Linked DNA regions of Notamacropus eugenii. The protein of the gene in region 1 purifies or fractionates together with the protein of each later gene. This does not show direct contact. Links are inferred from orthologs where the notes say so. Each region holds a gene or a part of one and is shown in the gene's direction. Other genes may lie near its edges.

Region 1 (6,954 bases):
TTGACTAAAAGCAGGGTCTTTCAATCAACTAAGCAATTGTACAAAGATGGTCTGCCAGCTCACTACTCATCACCTCATCAAGGAGATCTCCTTGAGGTAAGTGCGAATTATGCTCAGAAAGATTTTGTGGAGGTGGGAAAGGAGGCCTCTAGATCAGCAATTGTTGATATTTTTCTTAGTTACCTATTCTTGGTAATCATTTCTCCTCCCCCGTTGGGAAATTCTCCCCTCTTTCAGGTATCTTGAGAATTAATCCCTCAATGCTCTCAAAATTGTATTACCTCCAATTTGAATATCTATGCATTCTTGGACTACAAAGCATCACTGCTTTTTCCAACCTTGTTTTCCTTAGTGCTGTTTCAACTTTCCATCTAGCTCTAGTAATTGATAGAAACAAAAGAAAGTTTGTTCAAGAAATCGTAGAATCCCAGACTTGGCAGATACCTCAGAAGTTATCTAATCTAAAAGCATACACGAACAGGGGTCCCCTATTCAGCAGACCTGACAGGTGATCATCTAGTTTTTGCTTCCAGGAGAGTTGCAAATAAGAATGATCAAACCATAAATTTAGAAGGACCTGACAGCATTTATATTCACTCAGCAGCATAGAAACAACTGAGTTTAATACCTATCTAGCATGAAAGAAATTAAAATAGGAAACCATCAAGTGACCAGCTTTCTGCTCTCATTCCCACCCTCATTCCCAACCCAACAGTCCCCAAGGTGGAATTTTCAGCCTTCAGGGTATCTACCATCACAGTCTTTTCCCTGAAGTCTTTCTCTATCTCCCAGCAGAATTGGTTTTTAAAAAAGGTAATTTAAAGCACATTTTGTGAAGCTTGCTTGGGTCCCAAAATTGCTAGTGTAAAGGGCTTACCCTGGTCATACTATGATTACCTAACATGGAAGCATACTCTGCCTCCGGTGTTTTCCTACCATGTAAGTGGATGTAGCCTCCTTTTATTGGTTATGTGACCAGAAAAGGCTACATCTTTAAAACTAGCCAGACTGAGAGTCTCTCTTTACAAGCTCACTGTTTCCTGCTGTGTCCAGAGGGTCCAAGTCACCAAAGGGCTGGGCACAATGAACTTAACTGGGAAGAGGATATACTCTTACCCTGCCTCCCAGAAACAGGTCTGAGGTCCTTGTTCTGCATCATTTGTCTTTCTTAGTTTCAGGTGCCAGTGGTGATCCCCATTAGTGCGAGTGCTCAAGCCATAGTTACCTTGGAGCCAGGAGTCCAGGTGAGATGTTGCAGTTGGCCAGGCTGGTACAGAAAATTGGAGAAGTCAGGGTGGCTGGGACTTCAGACTGAAGTATGTTTGGACTTGGAACTGGACCGTGCTTTATAGGAACTGAGCTAAGCTATGAATCTAATCTTCCTCCTCACCCCAGAATATGAGGTAGTGAAAAATGGGAGTTGGGGAATTATTTTCTGCCTGTTGGAGAATATGCCTGTATATTTGTTATTATACCTTTGAAACAAATATTCCCTTATAAAGGCAAATGTAATAGATATGTAGCTAAACAGAACTGGGATGTAAAGAATCACTCCCTGGAAGAAACACCATTGGTGGGGCTGGAGCCTAAATACCCTACACCATTTAAGGGTATTGTACAACTCTGGACTTCAGGCCAGGGTAGACAGTATTATACTAGTAATATTCTTTCTAAAACACTTTAAAGTAAAGAGAGTGGGAGAAAACAGTGAGTGTATGTCTACCATGCTAGATAACACAGATAGGAGCTAAAATATAGGAAGAACACACCTAGTAATTCATTTGAGACAGAATTCAAGAAAAGAGAACAACCAGCATGGCTTCATCAAGAACAGGTCATACCAGACTAACTTTTTTTGACATGATTACTAGACTGGCAGATCAGGAAAATACTGATATAATTTATATTTCTGTAGAGCATTTCATAGAGTCTCTCCTACAATTCTTATGGATGAGCTAGATGAAAGTGCTCTTTTCCACTTTATTTTGATGTTTTTCAGAGCAGAAAATAGTTCAAATCTGGGACCAATCTGATGGGACACACTAGGATTATCACAGTCTTTCTCCTAAACTTTTGCTCAAAAATAGCCTAGAGGCATAAAACTGGGTTATTGTCTTAAGTTTTTTCTTTTAAAGTTCATAATGGCTTTATTTGTGCTTTGAAGTTCCATGATTGATTTTATACCTCATTGCGAGGTCTAAAGCTCCACTTCAGCAACTTTCTTCTTTTAAAGAGAGATTTACTTTTTAAAAATTAGCTCTTATTTTTAGATCATCTTCAATTCCAAATACATCCCTCTCCTCGCTCCCACTCAGAAAATCATCCTTTGTTACAAAAGGAAAAAGAAAAAAAACCAGTTCTCCAAAACCAACACATTAAATGAGTCTGACAGTATATGGAATATAAGCTCCGTGAGATAAAGACTATTTTAGGTTTTTGCTTTTGCTTTGCATCCCTAGCACTTACCATAGTGCCACAGATTAAGCACTTTATAAAGGCATCATTAAGTAATTAATATTCCATACCTAGAGTCTACCAACTCTCCACTGCAGTCTTATTACATCTTTGGGAGTCAAGTTTGGTCATTATACTCAACATGGCATTCATTTTCATTGTTTTCTATTCTTTCCATTTATATTGCTATAATAATAAAAAAACTATATACAAACATATAACTAAATTTTTTGCAAAACATTTTACATATACTTCCTCATTTGAGGCTCACAACTACGTGGAATATTTGTTATTCTTATCCCCATTTTATAGATGAGAAAACTGAGGCTGAGAGAAGTCAAAGGACTTGCCCAGGGCCACACAGCTAGTGTCTGAGACAAGATCTGTATTTATGTTTTCCTGACTATCCTCAAGACCACCTACCTATTTCAATCCGTGCACCTTATTTTCTAAGTTCTACTTATTTCATTTTCCATCAGTTTGTTTAAAAGCTTCCAATGTTTCTCTGTATTCTTCATATAAACTGTTTCTCACAGCAGAGCAATACTCTATTGTACCACCCTTTATTTCCCAACCTGCTGAAGCCTACTTTGTTTCAAATTTTGTTTTATTGGAGTAGTTATAAATGTTGACATAAACATTTTTACACACAGGGAGACTTTCTATCTTTGACCCTCTGGGAATATTTCTCAGATCTTCGGATCAAAGGATACTGACACATTAGTTACTTCAAAATTCTAAGTCCCTTTGCAGAAGGAACCACAGCTCCACCCACTATGGATTAGTAGTGTGCCTACTTTCCCGCAATACTCCAACATTAATTATTTCCATCTTTTGTCCACTTTGAAACATTTGCTTGGCATGGGCTTGACTCTCCTTTATCTGTAGTGATTTAGAGCCTCTGTTCATGCTTATTGACTATTTCAATTCTTTTCCTTTTGAGCAGTGTTGGTTCACCTCCTTTGGAACGGGTTACCTCTGGAGGGAGGGAGCGTCCCCTCATTCAAAGTTGGGGTCTTCTAGTTCAGGTCTGAGTTGGCCCATCGCCCAGCGCGCTGCCAGTACCTGCGGATAGACTCACTGGCTGGATGGTTTGGGAGGTAGGTCGCTTCCCATGGGGAGGCTCTGTGGTTCAATAGCTAATGGGGAAACTTAGGCTCCTAGGGGGAGGGGGTCCTTTCCCACGCTCCTCAGCTGGCAACAATGTGGCAAGGTGAGCTTGGGAGGGGGGACTCCACCTTTCTGCGCCTGGACAGCCCCGTCCTTTCATTCAACCCAACTTTCCACAACACGTGGGTTTCTCCCCCACCCCCTCCCGCCACTTCTCCAAGATTTTCCTCCTCACTGAGGGTGGAGGTGACACCGAGGTAATCTTCCCAGCAGCCTTTTCGCATTACGTGCCCCATCACGACAAGCCTAGAGGGCGGGCTATTTCTTGCCCCTCCCCCTCCTCGCCTCTTCCTAGCAAAAGGCGGGACGGGGTTGTGCGGCGGTCGGCTGGACGAATGAGCGAGAGAGAAACGGCGAGGAGCGGGACGCCGCGCGCGCGCACCCAGGCACGCACGCACGCGACGGAGGCGCGCGCGCAGGCCCGGTCCTTGCCGCCGCCGCCATTTTGCCTTCTGGTCCCGGCCGCACGGCGGAGGCTGTTGTAGGTGGGGGGGGGGCTCCCGGAACGAAGGATCGCCCTTGTCCCTGTTGCCGCCGGTTGCCCCTCCTCTCGTTCCCTTTTTAAACTCCTTCTTCCATCGCCGCTGTGCCAGCGCGACCATGTCCAAGCGGCACCGGTTAGACCTAGGGGAAGATTATCCCTCCGGCAAGAAACGTGCGGGGAGCGATGGGTAAGCGAGGCCGGCCCGAGGCGGGAGGGGGCGCCGGGCTTTGTTGATGTTGGGGCGGGCAGAGACGAGGTCTCGGCTGGGCCCGAGATCACCGGTATTTTCTTTCGGATCTCGGGCCCGTGGCAGGCGGCCCGGGGGAGGCTTTGCTCTCACGGGAACCCTCTCGGGTGGCGGCGCCAACTCCAGGCCCAGCCCTAGCCGGGGAGGCCGAAGGGCCCGGCACGAGTTTCCCCCCCTCCCCTCCCCAGGCCTTTCGGAGCTGCTGGGGAGCAAGGCCTGCCCGGGGAGGGGGTGGGGTGGGATCGGTGAGCCTCGTGGCCGGAGCGATTCTCTCAGGCCCGGGAATTCCTCTTCGCCCTCCTCCGGCAGTCTTTCCGGAGGACCAAGGAGCTGAGGGCCGCGGGGGACAGGGTTAGGCCTGTCAGGGCGACCCGAGGCCGAGTCCAGGAAAGGGAGAGCGGCGCGTGGGCCGGGTGTGGGCCGGGGAGGGCGCGCGCGTGGTGAGTTGTGTTGGTGTGAGTGTGAGTACGTCCGTATGTCCGTCCGTGTCCGCTGGCCGAGCCCCCAGCCGGAGACGCGGCTTGCGGATCCATTCAAAGTCTTTCAAAGTGGATGCTAAAAGAGGACAACTTCCGCTTCTTAAGCCGCGCTCCCGCGGGCTTCGGGTTTTCCCTGTCCTCGTTGGAAGGGTTGATCCTGGTCATCGTGGAAGCACCCCTCGTGGTTTCCGCTGCTATCTTCTTTTCTGTCCCATTTTTAAACATTTTTCTTTCACGTTTTGAGTTCCAAATTCTGTACTTTCCTCCCCTCCTCCACCCTGAGACGGTAAGCCATCGGATGTAGGTTATACGTATGCAGTTACTTAAAACATCTCCTTATAAGTCATTCTGAACAAGACGACAGGAAAAAAATGAAAAAAAGTGAAGAAGAGCGTGTTTCAGTCTCTGTTCAGTCAGTATTAGCTCTTTCTCCGGAGACTGCTGTTGTGCTTCGTCCTTAGTCCTTTGGGATTGTCTTGGATCACTGTTATTGCTGAGAATAGTCAAGTCATTCACAGTTACGATGCACAGCGTTCTCCTGGTTCTGTTCGGTTCTTTGTGCATCAGTTATATAAGTCTTTCCGGGTTTTTCTGAAATCATCCTGTTTGTCATTACTTATACGTTCCATTAAAGTTATATACTACAGCTTGTTTAGCCATTCCTAAATTGGTGGGCATCCCTTTGACTTCCAACTCTTAGCTACCACAAAAAGAGCAGCTATAAATAGTTTTGTACAAATGGGCCCTTCTCCACCCCCCACCCCCCCTTTTTTTTTGATGTCTATGGGATATAGACCTAGCAGTGATATTGCTGGATCTAAGGTATTCACAGTTTGGTAGCCCTAATGGTTGGATCAGTTCACAACTCCCATCAACCGAACATTGGTATCTAGGTTTTACCACATGCCCTCCAACACCCAAAATTTTCTTTTTTGTCATATTAGCCACTCTGATAGGTGTAAAGAGGTACCTCAGAGTTGTTTTAATTTGCATTTCTCTAATCAGTAGTGATTTAGAGCATTTTTATATGGCAATAGATAGCCTTGATTTCTTTTATATGAAAGCTGTTTATATCCGTTGATCATTTATCAGTTGGGGAATGACTTGTACATTTATGGATTTGACTCAATTCTCTGTGTATTTGAAAAATGAGACTTTTGTAAGAGATACTTGCTGCAAAAAATTTTTCCCTAGTTGTCGGCTTCCTATTTAATTTTGGTTTCTTTGGTTTGGCTTATACAAAACTTGAATTTTATATAATCAAAATGATCTATTTTATATTTTGTAGTGTTCTAATATCTTCTTTGATCCTAAATTCTTCCCCTATCCATAAATCTGACGGATAAACTGTTCTGTACTCTCTTAATTTGCTTATGAGGTCACCCTTTCTTTTATGTGTAAATCACATACTCCTTTTGACCTTATCTTGATGTACAGTGTGAAATGTTGGTCTATGCCTAGTTTCTGCCAAACTGTTTTCCAGTTTTCCCAGCAGTTTTTGACAAATGAGTTTTTGTTCCAAAAGCTTGGATGTTTGGATTTATCATATATTAGATGATTATAGTTGTTTACTATAATGTAATTTGTACCTAATCTATTCCACTGACCCACCACTCTGTTTCAGAGCCAATATCAGATTGTTTTGATAATTACTGCTTTATAAAATATAGTTTGAGATATACTTCTGTTTCTTAGCAAGTACCAGATTGTTTTGATAATTACCTCTTTATAATACAGTTTGAGATCTGGCACAGCTAGACCACCTTCTTTTGCATTTTTACCCATTGCTTTTCTAACTCTTAGTATTTTGAGATCTGAAGTAGTAAAGTCTCATATTTGCAACTTGGGCTTTGAGGCCAGAAGCATAATTGGGTTTTTAAGGTTTTTTTCTTTTTCTAGAAACCTTGGGTAAGTTAATGTCACCCATTTGGAAGGCAGAATTTTTGGAGGTCATATTTCTATCGACACATTTGCTCAGATTGTTTTCCTGTTATCTTCTTGGAGAAGAGATAGTATGGATTTTAAAATTCATTCAGATAGTCTTGCCCATAATAGGTACTTAAGAAATACTTGTGAAATGAATGATATTCTGCATCCCAAGTTGAAGGTTGTTGGTGTAA
Region 2 (7,482 bases), on another chromosome or scaffold:
TTTTTACATTCTTTTTTACTTTAAATTCCATATTCTCTCCCTCTTTTCCTCTCTTCCCCATTTAGAAGCAGCTAGGTGGCACAGGGGATAGAGATCAGGGCCAGGAATTGAAGAGACCTGGGTTCAAATATGACCTCATATACATACTAATAGTGTGACTTTGGATGCCACTTAACTTCTGTTTGACTCAGTTTCCTCATCTGTAAAATGAGCCAGAGAAGGACCTTTACAAGATTTTTGATCCAAACTGACAGAATTAGAGGGTAACTTAGCCACTGGCTGGTCAAGAATGGATGACCCTTTAAAAAAGCAGGATATACTTTCTAGGAATTGAATTGAGGATTGAATAGGGAAACAGTTTTGGAGCAATGTGACTGATCTCTGTGAGTCCAGAGAAAACCAGCTCTGGATATTGAGAGTTGAGCTGCTGAGGGAAACAGGCTGGGAGAGTCCCGCTGAGCAAACTACCCTGCAGAGACATTGAACCCAGAGCAAGCAGCATGATGACCTACAAGAAGGGAAAGGACCCTGGGGAGCTTCAGATAAGTTGCCTTGGTCCCATGTATTCCCTAAGTGTTGGCCTCTCTACTAGTGTGTTCTCAGTCTTTTCACTAACGCTGTGTGTGGTTGTGATATGTTTGTTTGGTAGGAGACTGCACCGCTGGTTTATGAAGGGAATGTGTTGTTACTGTTATTTCTGCCATTTCAGAAAATATTTTTCTTTTAACCTAAGTGTGCCAACCTGATGATTATTAGAAGTAAATGCTCTGGTGGGGGCTCATGAGCAACAGTTTTTACGAGTGTAAAACACAGAGTACCTTAAACCTGTGGGCAGTTGCCCCCTAGGGATCCACCCATGAGTTAAAGTTGGAGGTATTTCATAAAGGGTATAGCACTTGGCATTGAAATTACTAAACTAAGCCACATTGATTCTATTCTATCTGCTGCCCCCATCCCTAAACACCTATTACAAGGTAGATGATTAATAGCTGGTGGGTTGTTATCCTTAATACTCAAAGAGGACTAAAATGACATCACCATGTCAGCATCAGTGTGTCCAACTGTGGTAATACAAGCCTAAAAGGGTCTGTCACTGGCTGAGCACAAACAGACCACATGGACATTTGGAGTGGAGACATCTCTAAATTGGCATGTCACCTTTCTTTTGAGCTACTGCAATTCTGTTTTACTCATAGAACACACACAGGACCTTCTTTGATACTGACACACCATATTGGGCAGTCCTATGCCAGTGTCTCCCATGCCTCACAATCAATTCCAAAGCTCTTCAAAGAGACCTTGAGAGTGTCCTTGTATCACTTCTACTGACCTCTACGTGACTGCTTGTCTTGTGTGAGTTCTTCTTAAAATAATCTTTTGGGTGAACATACATTTGGCATTTGAACAATGTGGCCAGCCCATCTGAGTTATACTCTCTCCCACAGAGTTTGAACGATTGTCAATTCAGCTCAAAAGAGGACCTCAGCATCTGGTACTTTATCCTGCCAGGTGATCAGAATCTTCCTACGACAATTCAAATGGAAGCAATTCAGTTTCCTGGCATGGCGCTGGTAGATTGTCCAGGTTTCGCAGGCGTACAACAATGAGGTCAGCACAACAGCTCTGAAGACCTTCAGTTTAGTAGGCAGTCTAATACTATTCTCTTGCACTTTCCTTGGGAGCCTCCCAAACACTGAGAGAGCCTTGGCAATGTGTGCATTAACCTCATCATCTACATGTACCTCACTGAAAGTATAAGGTAAATGAACTTATCCACAGACAAGAGCTGAGATGTGTGGCCTAGAGTGCTAAACCAATCATTGACTTATCCTCCCCAAGCTAAACATTTAAATTCAACAAAAGCAGTAGCTCCAAGGCAAGTTGACTACCAGAAGACCTTATGTCAATAGATTAGATTGATTTTCCGTGGGAGAACAGTTTATTGCTAACTTGGAGAGAAGGTTGAGCCAACATATGGGCTGGTAATGACGAGGTTGAGGGGTGATGGGGAACCCCCAAATACAGACAGTCTGGGTCGTGCTCGAATGAATTCGACTCAAGCCTTCTTAAAGCCAAAGAAAACAAAGTTTATTAAAGATTCGCCAAATTGGGTTGCCTCTTAAAGAGCCTAAGCATTTGTGACGCTTGTATTCACAAGTGGGCCAGATGGAATCTCAGCTAGACAGAGTCTGAGCTGGATTGCATCTGAGCGCCTTCATGGAGGCAAGATGGAACTTAAACACAAAAAAGGGTATAGGAGGGATCTGGGGGGTGGTCAAGTAGTCCAGGGTGATGGGAGGAGGGGTTTAGGAAGGGTCTTGAGGAGAAGTCCCAGGAGGAAATCCAAGGAGGGTCAAAGGCTGGAAACAGCTGGAGGCTATCACAAGACAGACTAGGGGGCAGACTAGGGGGCACCTAGGTGGGAAGCAGGTGGGGCAATCCAGAGCTCTTGATAGGGGCTGTATGGGAATGGATACAGATCTTGAGGGGAGTGGTTGGTAGACTGGGGAATGGGGTTTTGATGGGATCAAGGGTGGGGAGTGCAACAGAGACCTGAGAAGAATGATAATGAAAAGCCCATGGGCTTCCTGAGACTGCTGGAACAAATGGGAAGATTAGATTTGAGTAAGAAAGGCCAGATTAAGTGGGAAGATTCAAGGGGAGTCAAAGAGGCTCCCAGAGTCTGAACCCCATCAGTAACAGTGGAGCAGAAAAAGAGTGGGAGCTGTGTAAACCGTGGCAACTCACTTCATCTCAGAGTCTGTAAAAATGTAAAAATGGGAGTGATAACATCACAAGGCTGTGAAAAAAGAGTTTTGTAAATTTTAAAGGACTATGGAAATTGTTCTCTGAGCCTCCTATGTAGTTTTCTCCTGTGTAGATAGATATGTCAACCAACAAATATTTGTTAAACATTAAAATTATATACTAAGCACTAGAGATAGTAAGAAAGGCAAAAACCAGGCCTTTTTCTTGAGTTAACTCAGACAACAGGTAAACAATTAAGTACAAACAAGCTACATGCAGGATAAACTGGAGATAATCAATGGAGAAAAGGTGCTAGGATTAAAAAGCTTCCTGCGGAAGGTGGGGTTTTGGTGGGGACTTGAAGGAAGCCGAGGAGGACCATGATATCAGGAAGGTGATACTGTTGAGGTTCAGGGCTGCTGGGGACCCCGAAATACTGACACGCCGGGTTTTGCTCGAATGAATTTGACTCAAGCCTTCTCAAAAACAATGAAAAACAAAGTTTATTAAAGATTTGCCATATTGGTTGACTCTTAAGGAGCTTAAGCATTTGTAAGGCTTGTATTCCCAAGTGGGCCAGATAGAATCTCAGCTAGACAGAATCTGAGCTGGACTGAATCTGAGTGCCTTCATGGAGGCTAGAGGGAACTTATATACAGAATGTGTGTGGGAAAGATCTAGAGGTCTGGGAGGAGGGTCTAAGGAGGATCTTGATGGGATGAATTGGGGTAACTAGGGATGAAATCCAGGGTGAGAAACAGCTGGAAGCAAATGGGAAGTATCAGACAATGCAGGGTCTGGGTGGAAAGTAGGTGCAAAAGGTAACAGACAATGGAAGGCCACGCTAGGCCAAGGGCAACAGATTTGAGTATGAAAGGCCACGTTAAGTGGGAAGATTCAAGGGGAGCTCAGGGAGGTTCCCAGAGTCTGAAGCCCATCAACACCATGACCTGCAAGTGAATTGGATTTAAGTGAGGCAGGATTGTGCAAGGTCACCAGCCTCACTTTCTCCTCCAGAGCCATCTAGGTGCAGGGACCAGAAATCCAAGGGAAAACACCGAGAAAGCAGAGAGAGAAGGTCTTGTTTGTGGAACTATCAGGAGACCAGCGTTGCCAGATCAAAGAGTACAAGGTAAGGGTGTAAGACGGTTAGAAAAGTGAGCAGGGCTTTGAATGACAAACTGCATTTTGTATCTGATTCCGAGGGCAACAGGGAGTCCCTGGAGACTTGTGTAGGGATGATTTCATCGTGGAAGAGGGGCTTTCTGTCTGGTTTGCGCCACTTTATCCGGGTCTCGGGGTCTTATCTGTGAAATGAGGCTGTGAAACGTGGATCCTGAACGTTTCCAAGGACGCTCTGGGATGATGAGTAAAGCATCGTGCAAGTGTGAGGAAGGCGAAGACTAAAATAAGGGCTCTGGACGTAGTAACAACAAGGGCAGTTGTTCATCTGTGAAATGGGGACGGGACACCTCCCCGGCTGCGCTCGCGGCCCGCTGTCAAGGGGCCAGGCTGGGAATGAGGGCTGGTGCCTCGCCGGCCCTGGCCCCCAGAGCCCAGGCTCCAGGACGCCCCGGGAGCGCACCCACTCTGGCAGCTCGGGACACCCTGCGCGCAGGCGGCTGATGGGCGCCAGTGTCTCCGCAAGGGCAGCAGGGGGCGCTGCCGCCTCGGCCCCAGCGCCCCGCTGCTCTCGCTGCCGCTCCCTGTACTGTCTCCTCCCCCATCCCCGATCCCAAGCAAGGACTTCCGGCGAGGGCGGAACCTTGGTGTCGCTGGGTGTGAGGCGCGGGCGGAAGAGCGCGGAGAAGCGCACTGGCGGCTGCCGCAACTTCCGGAGTGAGGTAGAGGTGGCGGGGGCAAGATGGAGACCATCCTCGAGCAGCAGCGGCGCTACCATGAAGAGAAGGAGCGGCTCATGGACGTCATGGCCAAAGAAATGCTTATTAAGAAGTCCACGGTGAGCGGCCGGAGGGAGGGCGGCGGGACGAGACGGGGAGGGAGAGGAAAAAAAAGCGGCCACATCCGGGATCCTGCCCCTCCCCCGGCTCCCAGGATCTCCCGTGTGCCAGGGACGCGTCCAGCCTGGGGGTCCCGTTCTGTCCGGGGGTGGGGGGGGGGGGGTCTGGAGGAAGGGAAATGCCGAGCGTCCCCGGCGGGTGGAGGCTGACCCAGGCTCTTGTGTCTTCCCCCTTCAGCTCCGGGACCAGATCAACTCGGACCATCGCACTCGGGCTATGCAGGACGTGAGTGCTGGGGCGGGGAGGGGCCGAAGGCTGTTGGAGCGTAGGCCCCCCACTGGGCAGGCCCGGCCGGCCGCTCGGGGAGTCCGGGTCCTCCGCGGCTGTTTGCGGGTGGTCTCCCCCGTGAGACCGGGAGCCCCTGAAGGGCAGCGACTGCCTGCTTTTGTGTCTTTCCCTGCGTCCTCCGAGTTTGTTATTAAGTTATTTTAACTAAATCGTTAAATTTATTAGTTATTGAAATTAAGTTGTTATTAAGTTTGCTGACCGAATTAATTTATTAATTTCGTATCATTTAAATGAATAAACTGTTAATAGCGGCTTATTGACCGGCATAGCGGGCGCCTAATTAGTGCTTGTGCGGCGAGGCACCAGGCCATCCGTGGTCCGGCAGAACTTGTGGGCCTGGCACTGTGCTGAGGGCACAACAGCAAACAGTCCGCTTCTCAAGGCGGTCACGGACCAGTGGGGATTGGCGTTTCTCCTGGGGCTTCCTTCCGACTCAGTGACCACTAACCACCCTCTCTGTGCAGAGAGGTAGGTTCGCTTCTGAAGGGAGCCGCCAGAAGGAAGAGGTTGGACTCTCAGGAGTACCCCTGGGCAAGCATCTGGTCTGTCCCCTGCCTGACCAAGACCTCTGCCTTGCTCGCCACGCTTTTGGACGATCTAGGCCCCTCCTGTGGTGCCTTTACCACAGCCGATAGACCAGCTCCGCCTGGGATGGGGAAGACCTGAGTTCACGTGCTTCCTGTCTGTGCACCCCTGGGCAAGTCGCTTCACCTCTGTCTGCCTCAGTGTCCTTATCTGTAAAATGGGAATAGTTCTAGCACCGACCTCCAAAGATTGTGGTGAGGTGAAAATGAGATGGTGCTGGTCAAGAGCTTTGCAAACCTTACAGTGAAATATAAATGGTAGCGATTGTTATTAGAACGTTTATGACCTCAAGCAAGGCATTTCACAACTTAATCTTTGGTGTTCTCTTTTCTGAAACAACTGTAATCATATTTGCACAGGATTGAGTAAACCACTTGGCGACCTTTGAAATATTGTGAAGTGTTATGTTATTAGTTGTAGTTATAGCTGGAAATAAGGAACGTGTAAATATATTTTGCGTTATTTTATGCATATAATGGGTATTGTACTTTTTTTGTTGCTGCCTTTTCATTGGGTGGTGGAGGGAAGGAGAGAATTCAGAACTAATTTTTTTTAATTGATTGTTAATACTACCACTTTTTTCACCACCATTACTACTACTATCGTACCACCAAGCTTGCCTTCCTTTTAGACTTATCTTTTAACTCCCTTCTTTTATATACAGTTTTCATCCCATCTTTGAGGAAGCTGCTCTAGCTTTGAATATAAAAAGTCTCTAATAAATATGTTCCCACTAATGTCTTGATGACTGAGGCCAGCATACTATGCTCTTCTTAACTCTCCACTTAGTTAGATTTTACTAAGGTGCTAGACCAAAAAGTAATATTAGAGAATGATGATGGGTTAGTAGAGAAAGAAGTTAAATGGGGAATAGACCTTCATTCTCAAATTATGTCATAAATAAGGCCGTTTCCAGTCATCCTGATGAATATCTGGTCACTGGATCCAGATGGTTCAGGAGGAAAAGTGAGGCTGGTGACCCTCACTCAAAACAAAGTCAAGTGCACACGGTCTTTTCGATAACCAAAGGATGAATACAGCAATAACAATATAAGTAACATCTTTACTGTCTGCTGAAGTCCTTGTGTCCCTTAATTTATCTTGAATAATCACTGAAGAGTCTTTGTTGGATATCCAACTATGTGGCGACAGAAACTGCTTTATGTTGATACAGTGTTTTTATTTGGTTTTTTTGCCTTTTAGAGGTATATGGAAGTCAGTGGGAATCTGAGAGATTTGTATGATGACAAGGATGGGTAAGTGGCAGTGCTGCGCCATGTATGGGTGATTGTGGGGTGCCAGTGTCAATCAAATTACTGACCCTGGTCCTTTGTTTTCTCTTTTGGTCCCTTTGGGAATTTCAGGTTAAGAAAGGAGGAACTCAGTGCTATTTCAGGACCAAATGAATTCGCAGAATTTTATAATAGACTCAAACAGATAAAAGAATTCCACCGGAAGCACCCAAATGAGGTAAGCATAGACTTTCAGAGTGAGCCAAGGGATACTTGAGAAAGAAGTAGCAGGGAGGAGGAACACTATTGATCTTTGGTTTTGTTTTGACTCATCAGTTACCTAATTTGCACCTTTGAATTGTTTTGATGACCTACAACAGTTGAGCAAGTGTCAGTATATTTGTCATTGAAAGACAGTGTAAGACAGACTTTGGCAACAGTTGTCTCTGTCTTTCCTTGTTTGCTGTATTAACACCTTTTCCTGTAAAATCATGTATGAATGTAGAGAATATATATATTTTTATTGTTGTTAGTATAGTATGACAGATAGGTGTTTTGGTGTAGTGGCACAGTAGACTGCGGGACTTAAAGTGAGGAAGACTTGGGCT
Region 3 (6,929 bases), on another chromosome or scaffold:
CTGGGGGAGGGGAGGAGGGTCTGACTGGGGGGAGGGGAGGAGGGTCTGACTGGGGGGAGGGGAGGAGGGTCTGACTGGGGGGAGGGGAGGAGGGTCTGACTGGGGGGAGGGGAGGAGGGTCTGACTGGGGGAGGGGAGGAGGGTCTGACTGGGGGAGGGGAGGAGGGTCTGACTGGGGGGAGGGGAGGAGGGTCTGACTGGGGGGAGGGGAGGAGGGTCTGACTGGGGGGAGGGGAGGAGGGTCTGACTGGGGGGAGGGGAGGAGGGTCTGACTGGGGGGAGGGGAGGAGGGTCTGACTGGGGGGAGGGGAGGAGGGTCTGACTGGGGGAGGGGAGGAGGGTCTGACTGGGGGAGGGGAGGAGGGTCTGACTGGGGGAGGGGAGGAGGGTCTGACGGGGGGAGGGGAGGAGGGTCTGACAGGGGGACCAGGAGGACCGCAGTGCGGCAATCAGCACAAAGCCTGGGGGAGGGCGGGCGGGGTCTGGGGAGGGTCATCACAGCCAGGTCACTGGGGGAGAGGGGCGGCGCCCCCCCATCCCAGGAGCCCCTACCTCCCACCCCTGATCGCTGCCGTCAGCCGGGCCCGCGTCCTGCGCACAGCCCGAGTCAGTAGGACCCGAGTTCGAATCCGCCCTCAGACCATTCCTGGACGAGTGACCCCCCCCCCCCCCGGCCCCCCTTCGCAGGGCCCCCCCCACACGCGCGGGCCGCCCCCCTCCCCGATCCCCGCCGCCGCCCCCGTAGCAGCCGGGCAGTCTCCACCGGAAGCGGGGCCTCCTTCCTGCTTCCTGCTTCCGCGTGACCCCCCCCACCCCGCGCCCCCCGCGCGCCCCCACCTGCCGCCGCCTGCTCCGCCTCCGCCACCGCCTCCGCGGCTCCCTCGGCCGTCCGCGAGGACCCGAGCCAGGGGCCCCGACTGCGCTCAGGGGCTGACGGGCCACGAGCCACAGCTAAGCAGCTGCTGCGGCTCCTGTCAGAGCCGCCTGTCAGCGCCGCCCGGCCCCGCCCCTACGTCATCGCGTCGTCATCTCACGTCACCGCGCCCGTCGGTACGTCATGTGACGATCCTCCAGATGGAAGTCGGGGGCGGAGCCTGGAGACAGGGGAGGGGGACGGGGGAAAGGGACCGTGGAGGCTGAAGACGAGGCCAGGAGGGGCGGGGCCTAGGAATGAAACCTTCCAAGGAGACTGGGAGAGCGAGGGGGCGGGCCCGGATGATGAGGACGGAGCCTGGAGGGCGGAGGGGCGGGGCAGGAGGGCCAGGAATGGGAATGTGGAGGCGGAAGATGAGGTCAGGAGGGGCGGGGCCTGAAGAGAAGAGGGACGTGGTCTAGGAAGGAGACCTTCCAAGGAGACTGGGAGAGCGAGGGGGGCGGGGCCATAGGGGCGGGGCCTGGCCGAGAGGGGTGCGGACTTGCTCCCTGCACAAGTCCCTGCACGTGCCCTCCCTTTGAGTCTGAGTCGGTGGCTTCCCAGTGGGGGCAGTTCGTCCACCAGCTCAGAGGCCACGCGGAGGTCATGCCACCCGCCAGCCCCGGCGTCCTACAGCCACGACTCCTTGCCCTAGAGGCCTGTGGATCCCAAAGATTCTAGATCCCAGCCAGTCCTCGTGGACCCTTGGGGCTAAGAATTAATAATGCTCGATAGATAACATGGATGGCATAGCGCTCCACAAATGTTAGAACCATCAAAATAAATAGGTTTTTAAAATTGTATTGTTTGTAGAAAAAATTAACCATAAAGTGAAAATAAATGAAATGTGTCTTATTTGTGAAACTAAAAAATTATAATTATCCATTGTTAAGAAGACATAATAGGATGCCCTGATACTGTGGTGGTAGCAGGAATCTCGTGAATCACAGAAATCTAGTGAGAAAGACTGGTCCAAGCTGCCCTTTGGGGAGACACTAGAGGGGGAGAGGGAAGACTAAGGAAGGAGTCTGAGGGCATCTAAGAAAAATGATGTAGATGCGGGTCAGTGGCTCATCCTGCGCCGCTCATCCAATGCCAACGCCAAATGGGGCATCCAAAGCCAAAGGGTGAGAGAGCCCCTGATGTGTCCACAAGGTGATGGGCATGGAGGAGGGGGCAACGTGATCATGTCCCTTCTTCATGATTCCTGACCAACCCTGCTAACTTCCATGTACTGGTCTATAAGCTGCTGAAGGGGAAGGGTGCTCTCTCACAGGGCAGGGAAAGACCTTGGGCAAGTCAGTTCATTTCTCTGGCCTCCCTCAGTTTGCTCTTTGATGTGACCTTGGTGAGTCCTGGCAGTCCAGCCCCCTTCCAAACCAATAAGAAAGAGTTCTCTTCAGTTCATTATCACTCCGCCCACCTTCTCCACGTTTCATCATTGCTCCTGCAGGGCTCTGCCTGGACACCAGAACAATGAATGCAAACCCCTCAAGCATTCCTGGGAAGGGTCCGGCTTTCCTCAGCCCAGCCTTGGTGCTTGACTGCTGCTGAACTGAAGCACAACCAGTGAACACTGCAGGTCTTTTCCTCCTTCCACACCACCAAAAAGTTCCTCCTGGAACACTCCAGCCTTCAGAGAGTGCTCCATAGGGCTTAGATTTGAATCAAGGTCAGAGCTTGATTGAATTATCTATTTTTTCCTCTCTCCTGTCCCCCACCTACAAGAGCCATGTCTGACATGGGGGCACAGTTCTTGGAACTTGGGCAGCAGTCTGTGCCTATGATCTAACCCACAAAAGCTTTGGTAAGCATGTTTCAAGAAGGGTGTGATATGGGGTAGCCTGTTACCTTTCCACTTAGGTGGTAATCTTTATTTCCTGTCCACTAATTTTAGGCTAATTAAAAGTATCATAATTACTTGTTGAGCATGGAAATCAAATGCATGACTAAAAGGAAAAATGCTGTCTCCCGATCGGCTTTTGAATGATGAGGAAAAAATGCTATAGATCTGCAGGACAAGAGAGAGGTACCATCAGCATCAGATGCAGGCATAACTTGGCTGCCTCGTCTGGGGCTGCCACATGGCCATGAGCACATGGTGCCTATGGTTCTCTCTCTGGTAACTATGTGTGTATGTAATGGTCACGATGGGCGGCCCAACCCTAACATCACATTTCTCCCTAGCCTCAATACACCGTCTCCCAAGGACAGCCCGCCCTAGCCAAACCCTTATCTCTCTGCCTGCTACAACAGCCAGCTGCACCTCTACAATTTATTAGTTTGAACCATCTATGTACTGGTTGAACTGGCTGTGTACTGGGTCCTAAAGATCAATCACATGTATCCTAGACTCAGACATGTGTTTACTCCCTTATGTTTGTCTTGCTTGATGGGAGCAGCCCGGGTATTTCTCAGTCAGCCCTGACTGCTGGTTGAGGCCTAAAAGCACACCTCCATGTAGGCCTGCCCCTTGGGTAACATGCCTGCACAGTATATCCTAAAAGTGCATGTTCCTTTAAGAACTAACTATTCCTTAACCACTGCTTAATCCTGCCCTGAATAACCTAGTTGGCACATTTGGCACGTTTGCTATAAAATATCCTGCACAAGCTTTGACCGTACCCCTCCAAGGTTGCAGGCAGGTGCCCTAAGAACTCTTTCCCATCGTGACTTCCAGGATGCCTGAGTCTGTGACTTCTCCAGGCTCCGTCTGCTGAGCACTGCTTGATTTCTCCGCTGGTGTACGTGATCACAGAAGACCCTCTCACAAAAGCAGACCTAAAAGCCTGCGTGGCAGACCCCGCGCTGGCAGACCCCGCGCTGGCAGACCCTGCTGGAGGCGTCAGGGCGCCGCTGCCACATGGCACAGAGACTCCGTGAAAGGGAAGGGATCCCTCCTCCTCCTGCCTTCCCCAAGGAGCCACCGTGCCCACGAATGCAGGGGCACGGGCACGCTGCCTCGGAGTTCGGGCGCTTCTGAGCTGCTGCGACGGAGGTGATCTCACAACCAAAACCTTTCTTTTTATTATTCTATTTTTCCCCAGTGACATGTTAAAACAATTTTTAACATTTGTTTTTAAAACAGAGTTCCAAATTCTCTCCCTTCCTCCCTCTCAATTCCGGGGACAGGGAGGGCTCTGGAACAGCTGGTGGGGGGCGGAGCCAGGTGGGGCGGAGCCAGGAAGGACCGCGAGCCAATGGCGTGCGGGCCCACTGCGCAGGCGCGTCGGTCCGAAAGTGTCTTATTCAGATTGCGGGGAGCCGGAACCAGCGGGGCCTCGCGCCGGCGCAGTACCTGTCGACTATGTCTCAGCGACCTCCGCGGAACTTCCGCCAGCGCCAGGCGGACTCAGGCTCCAGCTCCGACCCCGACTCTGACCCTGGGCCCACACCTGATTCGGGCCTCGGCGGCCGCGCTCCCGAGCGCACACTCGGGGCTCCGCGGAGTCGCGGCCGCGCCCGCGTTTGGGCGACTTCGCGCCGCGCAGGTCCGTGCGAGGGCAGCCATGGGGTGGGGAGGGTGCGTGCGCACACGCGGACTCCTGGCGCATGCGCGGAGCTCCAGGGAAGCTCAATCGATGTCCGAGAGCTCCCGTCTTCCACGGATGCATGACCTCATCGATTCCATGGGGAGGGGCCCCTCGAGGGTTGTGCAGGGATGAAGGAAACTGAGGCAGTGCGGGCGGGGCAGGGGCAGGAGCTAACTCCAACCCCCTCCTATTTCCTCCCCTGTCAAGTTAGGGTCATGACGCAGACACCCCAGGCACCCCTCATTCTGATCCCCTGTCCCCATGGACCCTCCCCGCCCCTCAGCCCCCAGACTCTCAGGCCACAGCCTCTGGCCCCACCCTCGCTGCCCTGCCTCAGTTTCCCACTCTGTCTCCAGGCACCTCCCGGTGTGGACCCGCCCCTCCAGGTGTGCAGGGGTGCTCCAGTTCTCCAGAAAGGAATGGTGAGCGCCCCTGCTGGAACCCCTGCTGGCGTCTTGGGGGGAGCTCCCACCCCAGGGAAGAAGTGTTAGCCTGGGGCTCAAGGTCAGGGGAGGGAAGGGCTGCAATCAGCCTTGTTGGAGGGATCCTCCCCGTTGTGGAGGGCCCGCGTTCTGCCTGGACTGGGCCTGAGGAAGGGCGCTGAGGGGTTCTGAGGGAGCTCCCCCTGTCCAGGTCCCCCCACTGGCTGCCTGGCGCTGACTAGCATCGCTGCCACTGCTTGTCCCCCAGAGTCCCCCCTGCCGCCTGGCCATGAGGATGAGGACACCGGGGCAGAAGCCCAAGACTTCTCGGGAAGCTCATCTGGCGAGGAGGCTCGTTCCCCAAGAGCGCAGGATGACTGGCCAGGTGCGTGGCCCCCATGGGCCAGTCCTGGGGCTGCTGGGCGATCAGCAGTCACCTGGCACTCCCTGTCTGATGCCAGACCCTCCTGATCTGACCAGCGATGTCCATGGCCAGATCTGCATCCTCTGAGGAGTCCTTGCTCAACCAAAACCTTTCCTTGAACCCTGCGGGGTGACCCAGAGGCTCTCCCTGACCCTTTTCACTCAGTTCCTGTGGGTCCTTTAGGGAAGATGCAGAGTACAGGCCATAGATCTAGGGCCACAAGGTCCTCCTGTCCTGCATCCTGTGCCGCCTCCTGGGGAAGAGTCATGACTGGAGGTGGGAAAGGGGCACTTTTTCTAAGGACAGACACAGGTCTCGGGGATGGTCCCATAGGGTGCAGCAGAGCAGTCCGCTCTGGTCCACCTGGGTGAACCCATGGTGCTGTGGCCAGTTCTGAGCCTGAGCCAGAGAGGGGAAGCCAGGTTCTCCTGCAGTGCTGGCCTGAGAGCACTCGGGACAGGGCTCACCCTGACCTGTGCATCTGTGTGTTGGGAAGTAGGGGTTTCCATGACTTTGCACAGGAAAGGAGGGTGGTGACTTCTGGGCTGGCAGGTGGGTTTCTCGTGTGCAGAAGAGCTTGGTAGTGGCTCGAGAGTGCACCTAAGTCCTTTGTGGGGGGCTACCAGTGGCCAATGAGGGTCCTTGATGCTGCTGGTCCCCTGTGTCACAGGGGGCTTCGCTGACCCAATGCAAGCCCGAGTGGTGGGAAGAAGGCAGCAGAAGGGAGCCAAGGCACAAGAGGACTACCTGCCACTGAGTGAGAGGCCGTGGAACCCCGTCTTGGATTTAAAGGGGAGCAACGATGCCGACTCTGACGATGAGCCTGTCCCTGGAGTAGCAGGGATTCACTCCCTGAGACTCAGAGGGGCTGGCGAAGCAGGTGAGGGTGCCTTGCTCTGGAATCCATCCCCTTCATTGGCTCTCATATCCAGTACTCTGCCACCACCCAAAGAGCTGGAACAGGCATTTCTGTTTTCTTTGGTCTCCTTAGGGTGTGCGCCTAGGGTCCGAGGGTGGGTGTGGTTCCTTGTTCTGGATTGCACAGAACCATCGGATCCATGGGCTGCAGCTGCATCAACAGGGCATGAGTATCCTGCTCCGATGGGCGTGAGGAAGAGCCTCAGAGGGTGCTTTAACTTTGTTCCTCTGAAACTGCCTACTCTTGTAAATTGGACCCCATTCCCCATTTTAGCGGGGAAAACAGGCCCAGGAAGGTGACTCGCTCAAGGTCACGCAGGTCTGATATAAGTGTCAGAGGTGAGATTTGAACCAAGGTCCTTTGGCTTCAGATCTGGTGCCTTTGCACTTGTCTGAGGAGGTCATGCAGCATCATGCCTTTAGCAGAAGAGGGATGTGGTGGGGCCCCCTGGCCTGGCCCAAACTTGAGGCCTGAGATGTTATGTTACAAGAAGAAAAAGGTGACTGGGGGCTCAGCTGGAAGGGCACAGGGAAGGTGGGGAAGGCCGAGGCCCCTCCAGAGGGCACAGGTTTGAGGGCTGAGGGGCCATCCTCAGCCTTCCCTTCTTCATTCTAGCTTCCAGCAACTCAGAGGGGGAGGCTCAGGACGTTTGGGAGGACCAGCAGATGAGGAAGGTTCTGCGAGACACAGACATGGTACCATGTGCCCTGGGGAGGCC
Region 4 (7,690 bases), on another chromosome or scaffold:
CAGTTTCCAGAAGAGTTTGAATTCTCAGAGTTCTTTCTCCTGGCCCTTCATGATAGTGTCAGGGTTCCTGATACTCCCACCTTCCTAAGAGACACCCCCTGGGAACGGGCAAAGCAGAGTGGGCAGGTAAGTGATTCTTTCTCTTTGCTTTTCCTGGGTTATTCTCCCTGAGTTTTAATCATGAGCTTTTTTTGCTGGGTGCTAAGAAAATGGGAAGAGAATTAGAAGTAAGGGAAGGTGCCTGGTCAGCGACTGCATGATCTTTGTCACTGAGGTTCCAAGACCTTTGATTTTTTGGGTGGTAGTGGTGGTGGTGTATGTGCGTGTGTGTACATGTTTGTGTAGGTGTTGCTTTATAATACTGCCCCTTTAATCTGAGAGAATGGTGGAGTTTCCCGAGGCTTAACTAGTCCTCTTTTTTTTCCTTCCTCTATCTAGTTCAGCTCCTATACGCAGGTGTATACACCAGGATCCCCTCAGTCTTCAGCTGGAGACCTTGTCCCCAGACCACCAACTGTCTGGGACTGGGGTCTTCGATATAGCCATCAGCAGATACTTCAGTTCTATAACCCCTGTTATGACCCACATCACTGCTCAGATTCCTATCCCCCTAAAGAACAGGTAAGCCTCATTGTAACAAGAGAGAAAGAATTAGGAAGATGGGGAAGAAATAGTTTCGTTAGTTTTTGCTTCCGATTCTCACGGTCCCAAGTGTCCCCCAAAGGCACAGATACTCTAGGAGGAGATGAAGAGGCAGTTTGGTGGTCTTCTTCCTTTTTCTCCAGTTTCTTCTCACCTAGCCTGTGAAGAAGCCACCCCTAATTCAATATTCCCTCCATTTTTATTTCTGAAGTCTTAGCCCTAAGCCATGGGGGAGGGTAGATGAGGCTTCAGGAAGATGCTGTAACTCCAGAACTGAATTATTTGGTAGTGAGCTGACTCTCTGCTTCTTGTAGCCAACTCCAGCGACTCCTGGCCCTCCACGATCCATCTTCCTTTTCTCCCGGGGAACTCTGACCCCACTGAACCAGCTCTGTCCTTGGCGAGATGGTTTTTCCTCACTGATGTCCTCGTCACGATGGCTCCTTCGACACAATACATCCACTGACAGCCTGGCTGACCAGGAGTGGGGACTCCCTCCTCACTGGGGGCCCTCCCCTTTGCCTCCAGGACTTCTGCTGCCTGGATTCCAAGGGCCCCAGATCAGACTTTGGAGACGTTGCTACCTAAGAGGGCGACCTGAGATCCAGGTAGGACTGGTATACAAAGGCAGGAATGTGGGGTGGCAAGTGGAGGCCAAAAGAAGGAAATTTGGCAGGACATCAGTCAACAAACATATTAAGTCCCTTCTATGTGCCAGGTACAGGGGAGATAAAGGTAAAAAACTGAAACATCCTTTCAAGGAACAATCATTGAATGTAAGATACTTATTTTAATGTTGGAGCAGTCTGGTGAAATCTGGAACTGCAAGGGGATTGGAGGAAATATTAGAAACAGTGAAGGCACTGGGTGAGTGGCGTGGCTGCACAGCTCTGCAATGACATCTTTTTTTGTCCCCTTCTCTCCTTCAGACAGGTCTATCGGCCCCAACAGTCTCTGGACTCTTGGATGAGCTGGCCCAGCTCCAGGAGCTGCTGAGGATGTGGTCTTCAGGGACATCGCCTGGGGCTCAGAAAACCAAAAACCCCCTGTCTCCATCCCGATGAGATGTCTGGCCCTCTTTAGGATTCTAGGTTTCTTTGATCTGCTGGATCTTCCCTTTGCCTTAAACTCCACCCTCCCAATTTATCCAATCACCAAACAAGCATAATAAGATTTAACCTGCTGTTCTGGCCCTGCCCCTAGCCCATAAGCACAGAACCAGATTTTGATCTGGAAGGGATCTTAGAGATCTAGTCTTATTCTTAAATGGGCTAGCTGGCTGTTAAACACACAGGACTGGGGCTCGAGAGAGCTAAGTATTCTTCTTGTGGCTCTGACTCCGTGTGACCTTGAGCAAATCACTTATCTTGAGCTGATTTTCTTAATCTGTAAAATATTATATGTACAGGGTGTCCCAAATGTGTGTGTGTGTGTGTGTGTGTGTGTGTGTGTGTGTGTGTACACACTAGAATATGTGGCTATTTCCAGGTCTGAAACTATGATTCTGAGTCAACTCCAACACTGACACCTGCTCCTCCCTCCAACTCCCCAGAGACTGTTTTGTGCCTGAAATGTTTTTCTTTGTAATTATCTTATTATTTAGGATCTTAACCTGCTCCCTTCAAGACCATCCTATCCTTTGTGTGTTTACGGTTGTATAGTATTTGAAGTGGAGGTACTGGTTATGACTCACCAACATGGCTCCTACAGACCTAATCCTAATTTTCCTTCTGCCTATCTCTCTACTTCTTAATTTCTAGTTATTCTCTTTGCAGCTTTCTATGGAAATAGAATGGAGAAGAGAGAGGAAGAAAGGGAATAGATCTTACTATGTGTTAGATATTAGGTTACAACTGTGATTTCTTCTGATTCTCATAACACCCCTGCACAGTATATGCTATTTTTATCCCAATTTTTCATTTAAGGAAACAGACTTTAAGTGACTTGCCTAGAGTCAACACAACTAGTAAGTGTTTGAGGATGGATTTGAAATCCAGGTCTTTCATGCTCCAGTCTCAGCTCTCTATGGCTTCTGAGTAGGATTGGGAGACTCTCTACCACCTCCATATGTAGATGTTTTGGTAGTGACAGAAACCATCAATGAAAAATATTTATACAAGCTATAGGTTTTGCTTCTGAGAAGAATAATGTGGGAATAGGTGCTAGGATAAAGTCGGGAAAATGGGGACAGAAAATCTTGTACTGTGGGAATGATATGTGGGCACAAGCATCATCATCCAACTGACTGATCATTTATTACCCAATGCCAATATTAGTTTCAGGGAAAACAAGGCAATGAGGAGAAGGGACCAAGTGAGAATTATGGTGGGGCCCAATTATATACAGGTTAACCCTTGTATGGCCTAGATTAAGAAGACTTCTCAGTGACTTTTTTCAGGGAGTAATATAGAAGAGTTTCAATTGTATTGGAGGTCAGGCTAAAGTCAAAGATCAAACTCTGTGAAATAAGCTAAGATCTGAATTCTTGGAGGTTCGAGCCTTAGACCTCCAGCAAGATTTAGAAGTTGGTGGGAAGTAGTATGGGACCAAACCTTTAAATGAGGATAACACGTAGAATAGGGATGGTTCTGGACTGGCTAACAAGAAGGAGTTTACTCCTTAAATCCTTTGTTACAGATATAGTTTGAGCATGGTACACACTTGGGAACTTGAAGGAATCCAATAAAATAAAATTTGTAATGGAATAGTTTAGTGTTTTGAGCTAAATGTCCCTCCTTCTTCAAGACATTTTTCTCAGTTATTAATCTTAGTGTCTTCCTTTTGAGACCACCCCCATTTTATCCTGTACATATCTTGTTTGTACATAGTTGTCTGCATTTTGTTTCCTCAATTGATCATGACGGCCTTGAGAACAGGAATGGATTTTTTGCCGTTCTTTGTATCCTCAGCCTTTAGTATGGTGCCTGGCACATAGTAGGTGCTTCACTAAATGCTAGTTGACTGACTGGGTCCTATACAGGTATGAATATATGAATATGCTCAGTGTGTACGGGATATAGCAAAGCCCATACATTATAAAACTACAGTCCACCATCCAGGGAGGATGCCTAGTGCAGGGAAGGAAAGAAGCATACAGCACTTACCACGGTGCTAAGAGCTTTACAAATATTAATTAGCTCACTCTGACCTTCACAACCACCCCGTGAAGTAAGTGTTGTTATAATTCCCATTTTACAGTGGAGGAAACTGAGACACAGAGGTTGTGACTTGCCCAAAACTTGCCATAGCTAGTAACATCTGAGGCTGGATTTGAGCTCAGGTCTTCCTAACTCTAGACCCATGGCTGTAGAGCAGACCCACCGCTGCATCCAGGGACCCTTGTGGGACATTGATGAGCTGGACCACAGACAGGGTCAGGAAGCTCAGCATCTGTGCCAAGAAGAGGCCAGGCGTTGGATGTCAGGAACTAGTGCAATCAATGCCCCTTAGGCCCCCTTTGTGTTAGGGTGCCAGGGAGATCCTGAGGGGTTCGGGCTGGAGGATGCCCGTTGGGCAGGGGGAGAGGCCTGCTAATAGTAGTCGTTGGTGTGTTTGGCAGCGATGCATTGTGATGAGGTGGGCTTTCATTTTGGTGTGGACTTGTGGGCTGGAGGCGGGGCGTGACATTGGCCGGAGGAAGGATCGTGCAGCAGGAGCAGCGGCGGCGGCGGCGGCGGCGGCGGCGGCAGCGGCAGCAGCAGGAGCGGCAGCAGGAGCAGCGGCAGCAGCATCAGCAGCGCCGTCACGTGACTTTTGGGGGGGTGGTTTGTTTTTTTTTAGCAAAGCTGCCAACGTCAGAGCCCTTCCTAGGTTACTAAACCTCCCTGGGCCTCAGTTTACCCAGTTGTGGACTTGAGGGGAGGTTGGACCGGACGGACTCCTAAGCTCTTTCCAGCTCCACATCGCTCCCTTTCTCAGCCCCACTTCCCCCATTCGCACAAACTCTGGGTTGGGGGCGGAAACGCCCCCCATTGCTATGGCAACTTTTCGGCGCCGCCTGGTTAGGAGGAAAGGGGGCGTTTCGGTGTCTGTGAGCCAGGAGCCGCTTTTCTAGGTCCTGATCATGATTGACCTCGATTTGGGGGTGGTCCTCGTACCGCTCTTTGGGGGTGAGGTGAGGGAGACTGAGATAAACTGTGGCGGTCAGAATGTCAAGATCTTGTGATTAGTTATCTTGAAAAATAAAGGTTTATTCCATTCAGGCTTCTGTGGTTCATGGTCGGGGCTGGGAGTGGGGGAGGAGAGCCGCTACTTAGACCCTCCCCGAAGTCACGTGGAGGAAGCCCCTGATGGTAGGACTCCGAGCCCTGCCTCAGGCGGCCCGTGCCAGCTCAGCCAACATGGCAGCCCACGCCCGGCGCTTCCGAGATGGCCGCCGCCGCGTCTCACGCTGCCCTCCTCCGGCAGCCCCGCCCCTACCGCTGCCCCGGAAGCGGAAAAGTTCCCGTTGCGGGGCCGCTGCCTGGAGACGGCGGGAGCAGATTCAGTATGGCGGCCGGGCCCATCTCCGAACGGAATCAGGGTGAGTGGGGGAGGAGGCGGGAAGCCCGGAACCGCGTCCGCACGGGCCCGAGCCCGGCTCGTTGAGGGGGCCCGGGCCGGGGGCTGGGGAAGCGGGTTCGCCGCGTCGCAGAGGCCCGGAGGCCTCCGCGACCCCATGGCCGAGCGGGTCGGGGGGAGAGGGGAGAGGCGGGAAGGGAGGGCTCCGCGGGTTTCCCGTGCACCTGCCCCCCGGGCCGTGGAGAAGCCGCCTGAGGAAGGCAGCGTGAGGCCCGGCCCTGGTCGGACACCGCTGCCCACCGGCGGTGGCCCGCCCCCTTCTCACGTCCGCATCCCTTCGCCCCGCAGATGCTACGGTGTACGTGGGGGGCCTGGACGAGAAGGTCAGCGAGCCGCTGCTCTGGGAGCTCTTTCTGCAGGCGGGGCCCGTGGTCAACACGCACATGCCCAAGGACAGAGTCACGGGGCAGCACCAAGGTGAGGAGGGGGAGGATATGGGGGAGGGAAGGGGCGTGCGAGGCCACGCGCCCCCGGGCGGCCAGTGTCAGCGAGGCTTTTACTCTCGTCTCTCCAAACTTTGTGCGGCTTCTAGCTTCCTTGGCTTGGATTCCTCCGCTGCGATGACAAGCACGCTCTTTTCTTCTCTTCCCCGTACGTGCCCCTGGGCTTTCTTTTTTTTGCGGGAGTGGGACAAATGGTGTCCCCTCGGGGCTCTTAGCGGACGGTGCGCGCCCAGTCTAACCTTCCGCCCTTGGCCTTCTCCAGGCTATGGCTTTGTGGAGTTCCTGAGCGAGGAGGATGCGGACTACGCCATTAAGATCATGAACATGATCAAGCTGTACGGGAAGCCCATACGAGTGAACAAAGCGTCAGCTCACAACAAGAACCTCGATGTGGGGGCCAACATTTTTATAGGGAACCTAGACCCCGAGATCGATGAGAAGCTGCTCTATGACACCTTCAGCGCCTTCGGGGTTATTTTGCAGACCCCCAAGATTATGCGGGACCCTGACACAGGCAACTCCAAGGGCTACGCCTTTATTAATTTTGCTTCGTTCGATGCCTCCGATGCAGCGATTGAGGCCATGAACGGGCAGTATCTGTGTAATCGGCCCATCACAGTGTCTTACGCCTTCAAGAAGGACTCTAAGGGGGAACGGCACGGCTCCGCGGCCGAGCGGCTTCTGGCAGCCCAGAACCCCCTGTCCCAGGCGGATCGGCCCCACCAGCTGTTTGCGGATGCACCACCTCCACCGTCCGCCCCCAATCCTGTTGTGTCTTCCTTGGGATCTGGGCTTCCTCCGCCAGGTAAAACATGGATTGGGCGTGTGAAAGTGAGGGGTAGACCAAGGCTGGCGGGACAAGGAGACGGAAGGGATAGTCGGAGTATGGTGAAGAAGTGAAGTAAGGGTTTGGAGATGGGAGGCTTGGAGATAATAATGCCCAGGCTGTAGATCTTTGTTTAAATTGCCTCTTATTGTATGAGTAATTTGTGGAGAGGGAAGGTCATTTTCTTAAGTGGCATGTGAATAGGGGGACATGGTGGGACAAAGTTTCTGTCCTGGTTTATTGATACAGACTCTTCTTTCTATATTTCTTTTTAGGTATGCCCCCACCAGGCTCATTCCCACCTCCAGTGCCACCTCCTGGAGCTCTTCCTCCAGGAATACCCCCAGCCATGCCTCCACCACCTATGCCTCCTGGGGCTGGAGCCCATGGCCCTCCATCAACAGGAACCCCTGGAGCAGGACATCCTGGACATGGACACTCACATCCACATCCATTCCCACCAGGTGGGATGCCTCATCCTGGTAGGTGTTCTGTGCTGGGAATGAGAGGGACAAATGAGGGGGAAGGGGCTGATTACATCTTGACTCTTCTTCTCTTTCTCTTTTTTCTATATCTTATGCACTTGGCTCCTCCCTTGTCCCTCCTATCCTTTCAACCTCCCTCCAATTCCTAATTCTGTTCCTGGGATGATATGTGATCCCATAGAGAGAACTTGTGAGAGTAGGAGGTTTTTCTATTTTAACTAATCAAGTAGTATATTTTTCTTTGAGAAAAATAGCATGGCTATGGCCTGTTTCCTGCCAACTTGATTCTCCTGTTTTCTCATCCCTTTACTTCTTTGTTTTTTGGGGGTTTTTTGATCTTACTTTATTTGAAGTTGTAGAAGTAAAGGTAATTTCTTTTAAATCAGCCTGATGTTTTCCCCAAGACCATCTGTTTCACTTGTAGTCATTCACAGTGATGACCTGTATTCACTTGAGGGTAGCTCTGAAGGCCTAAAGGAGAACTGGTTTTTTTAATTAATTTTTTTTTTTCAGTTTTCTTCAATCACTTTTATAAATCTTAGATTTTTTTCCCCCTTTCTTCCCCTCCCTCCCCCTCCCTCCCTGAGATAGCATTCAGTCTTAGATGGGTTCTACATATACATTCTTCCTAAATACATTTTCACCTTAGCCATGTTGCATGGAAAAACTAAAATGAATGGGAGAAATCATGAGAAAAAACAGAACACGAGAAAATTGTCTGCTTCATTCTGCAA

The links.
Region 2: the proteins of DHX15 (region 1) and SF3A3 fractionate together in Homo sapiens (co-fractionation; 3 studies listed by BioGRID and IntAct, with this or other methods). This does not show direct contact. The link is inferred for Notamacropus eugenii from reciprocal best matches to the Homo sapiens genes DHX15 and SF3A3.
Region 3: the proteins of DHX15 (region 1) and GCFC2 purify together in Homo sapiens (co-immunoprecipitation; 3 studies listed by BioGRID and IntAct, with this or other methods). This does not show direct contact. The link is inferred for Notamacropus eugenii from reciprocal best matches to the Homo sapiens genes DHX15 and GCFC2.
Region 4: the proteins of DHX15 (region 1) and SF3B4 purify together in Homo sapiens (co-immunoprecipitation; 4 studies listed by BioGRID and IntAct, with this or other methods). This does not show direct contact. The link is inferred for Notamacropus eugenii from reciprocal best matches to the Homo sapiens genes DHX15 and SF3B4.

The regions. Positions count from the first base shown.
Region 1 is NC_092877.1:77,379,336-77,386,289, reverse strand, and holds the start of DHX15 (ATP-dependent RNA helicase DHX15), read left to right. Parts: upstream 1-3,949; 5' UTR 3,950-4,224; coding exon 4,225-4,295; intron 4,296-6,954.
Region 2 is NC_092876.1:81,241,401-81,248,882, forward strand, and holds the start of SF3A3 (splicing factor 3A subunit 3), read left to right. Parts: upstream 1-4,479; 5' UTR 4,480-4,612; coding exon 4,613-4,708; intron 4,709-4,946; coding exon 4,947-4,994; intron 4,995-6,845; coding exon 6,846-6,898; intron 6,899-7,006; coding exon 7,007-7,112; intron 7,113-7,482. UniProt on the Homo sapiens protein: Component of the 17S U2 SnRNP complex of the spliceosome, a large ribonucleoprotein complex that removes introns from transcribed pre-mRNAs.
Region 3 is NC_092872.1:761,642,483-761,649,411, forward strand, and holds the start of GCFC2 (intron Large complex component GCFC2), read left to right. Parts: upstream 1-3,923; 5' UTR 3,924-4,220; coding exon 4,221-4,404; intron 4,405-4,802; coding exon 4,803-4,868; intron 4,869-5,079; coding exon of another isoform or gene 5,080-5,136; coding exon 5,137-5,253; intron 5,254-5,962; coding exon 5,963-6,172; intron 6,173-6,826; coding exon 6,827-6,906; intron 6,907-6,929.
Region 4 is NC_092873.1:303,754,621-303,762,310, reverse strand, and holds the start of SF3B4 (splicing factor 3B subunit 4), read left to right. Parts: upstream 1-4,672; 5' UTR 4,673-5,010; coding exon 5,011-5,164; intron 5,165-5,490; coding exon 5,491-5,619; intron 5,620-5,907; coding exon 5,908-6,450; intron 6,451-6,746; coding exon 6,747-6,953; intron 6,954-7,690. Other genes in the region: MTMR11 (myotubularin-related protein 11), read left to right, coding at 1-126, 439-621, 957-1,250, 1,572-1,706. UniProt on the Homo sapiens protein: Component of the 17S U2 SnRNP complex of the spliceosome, a large ribonucleoprotein complex that removes introns from transcribed pre-mRNAs.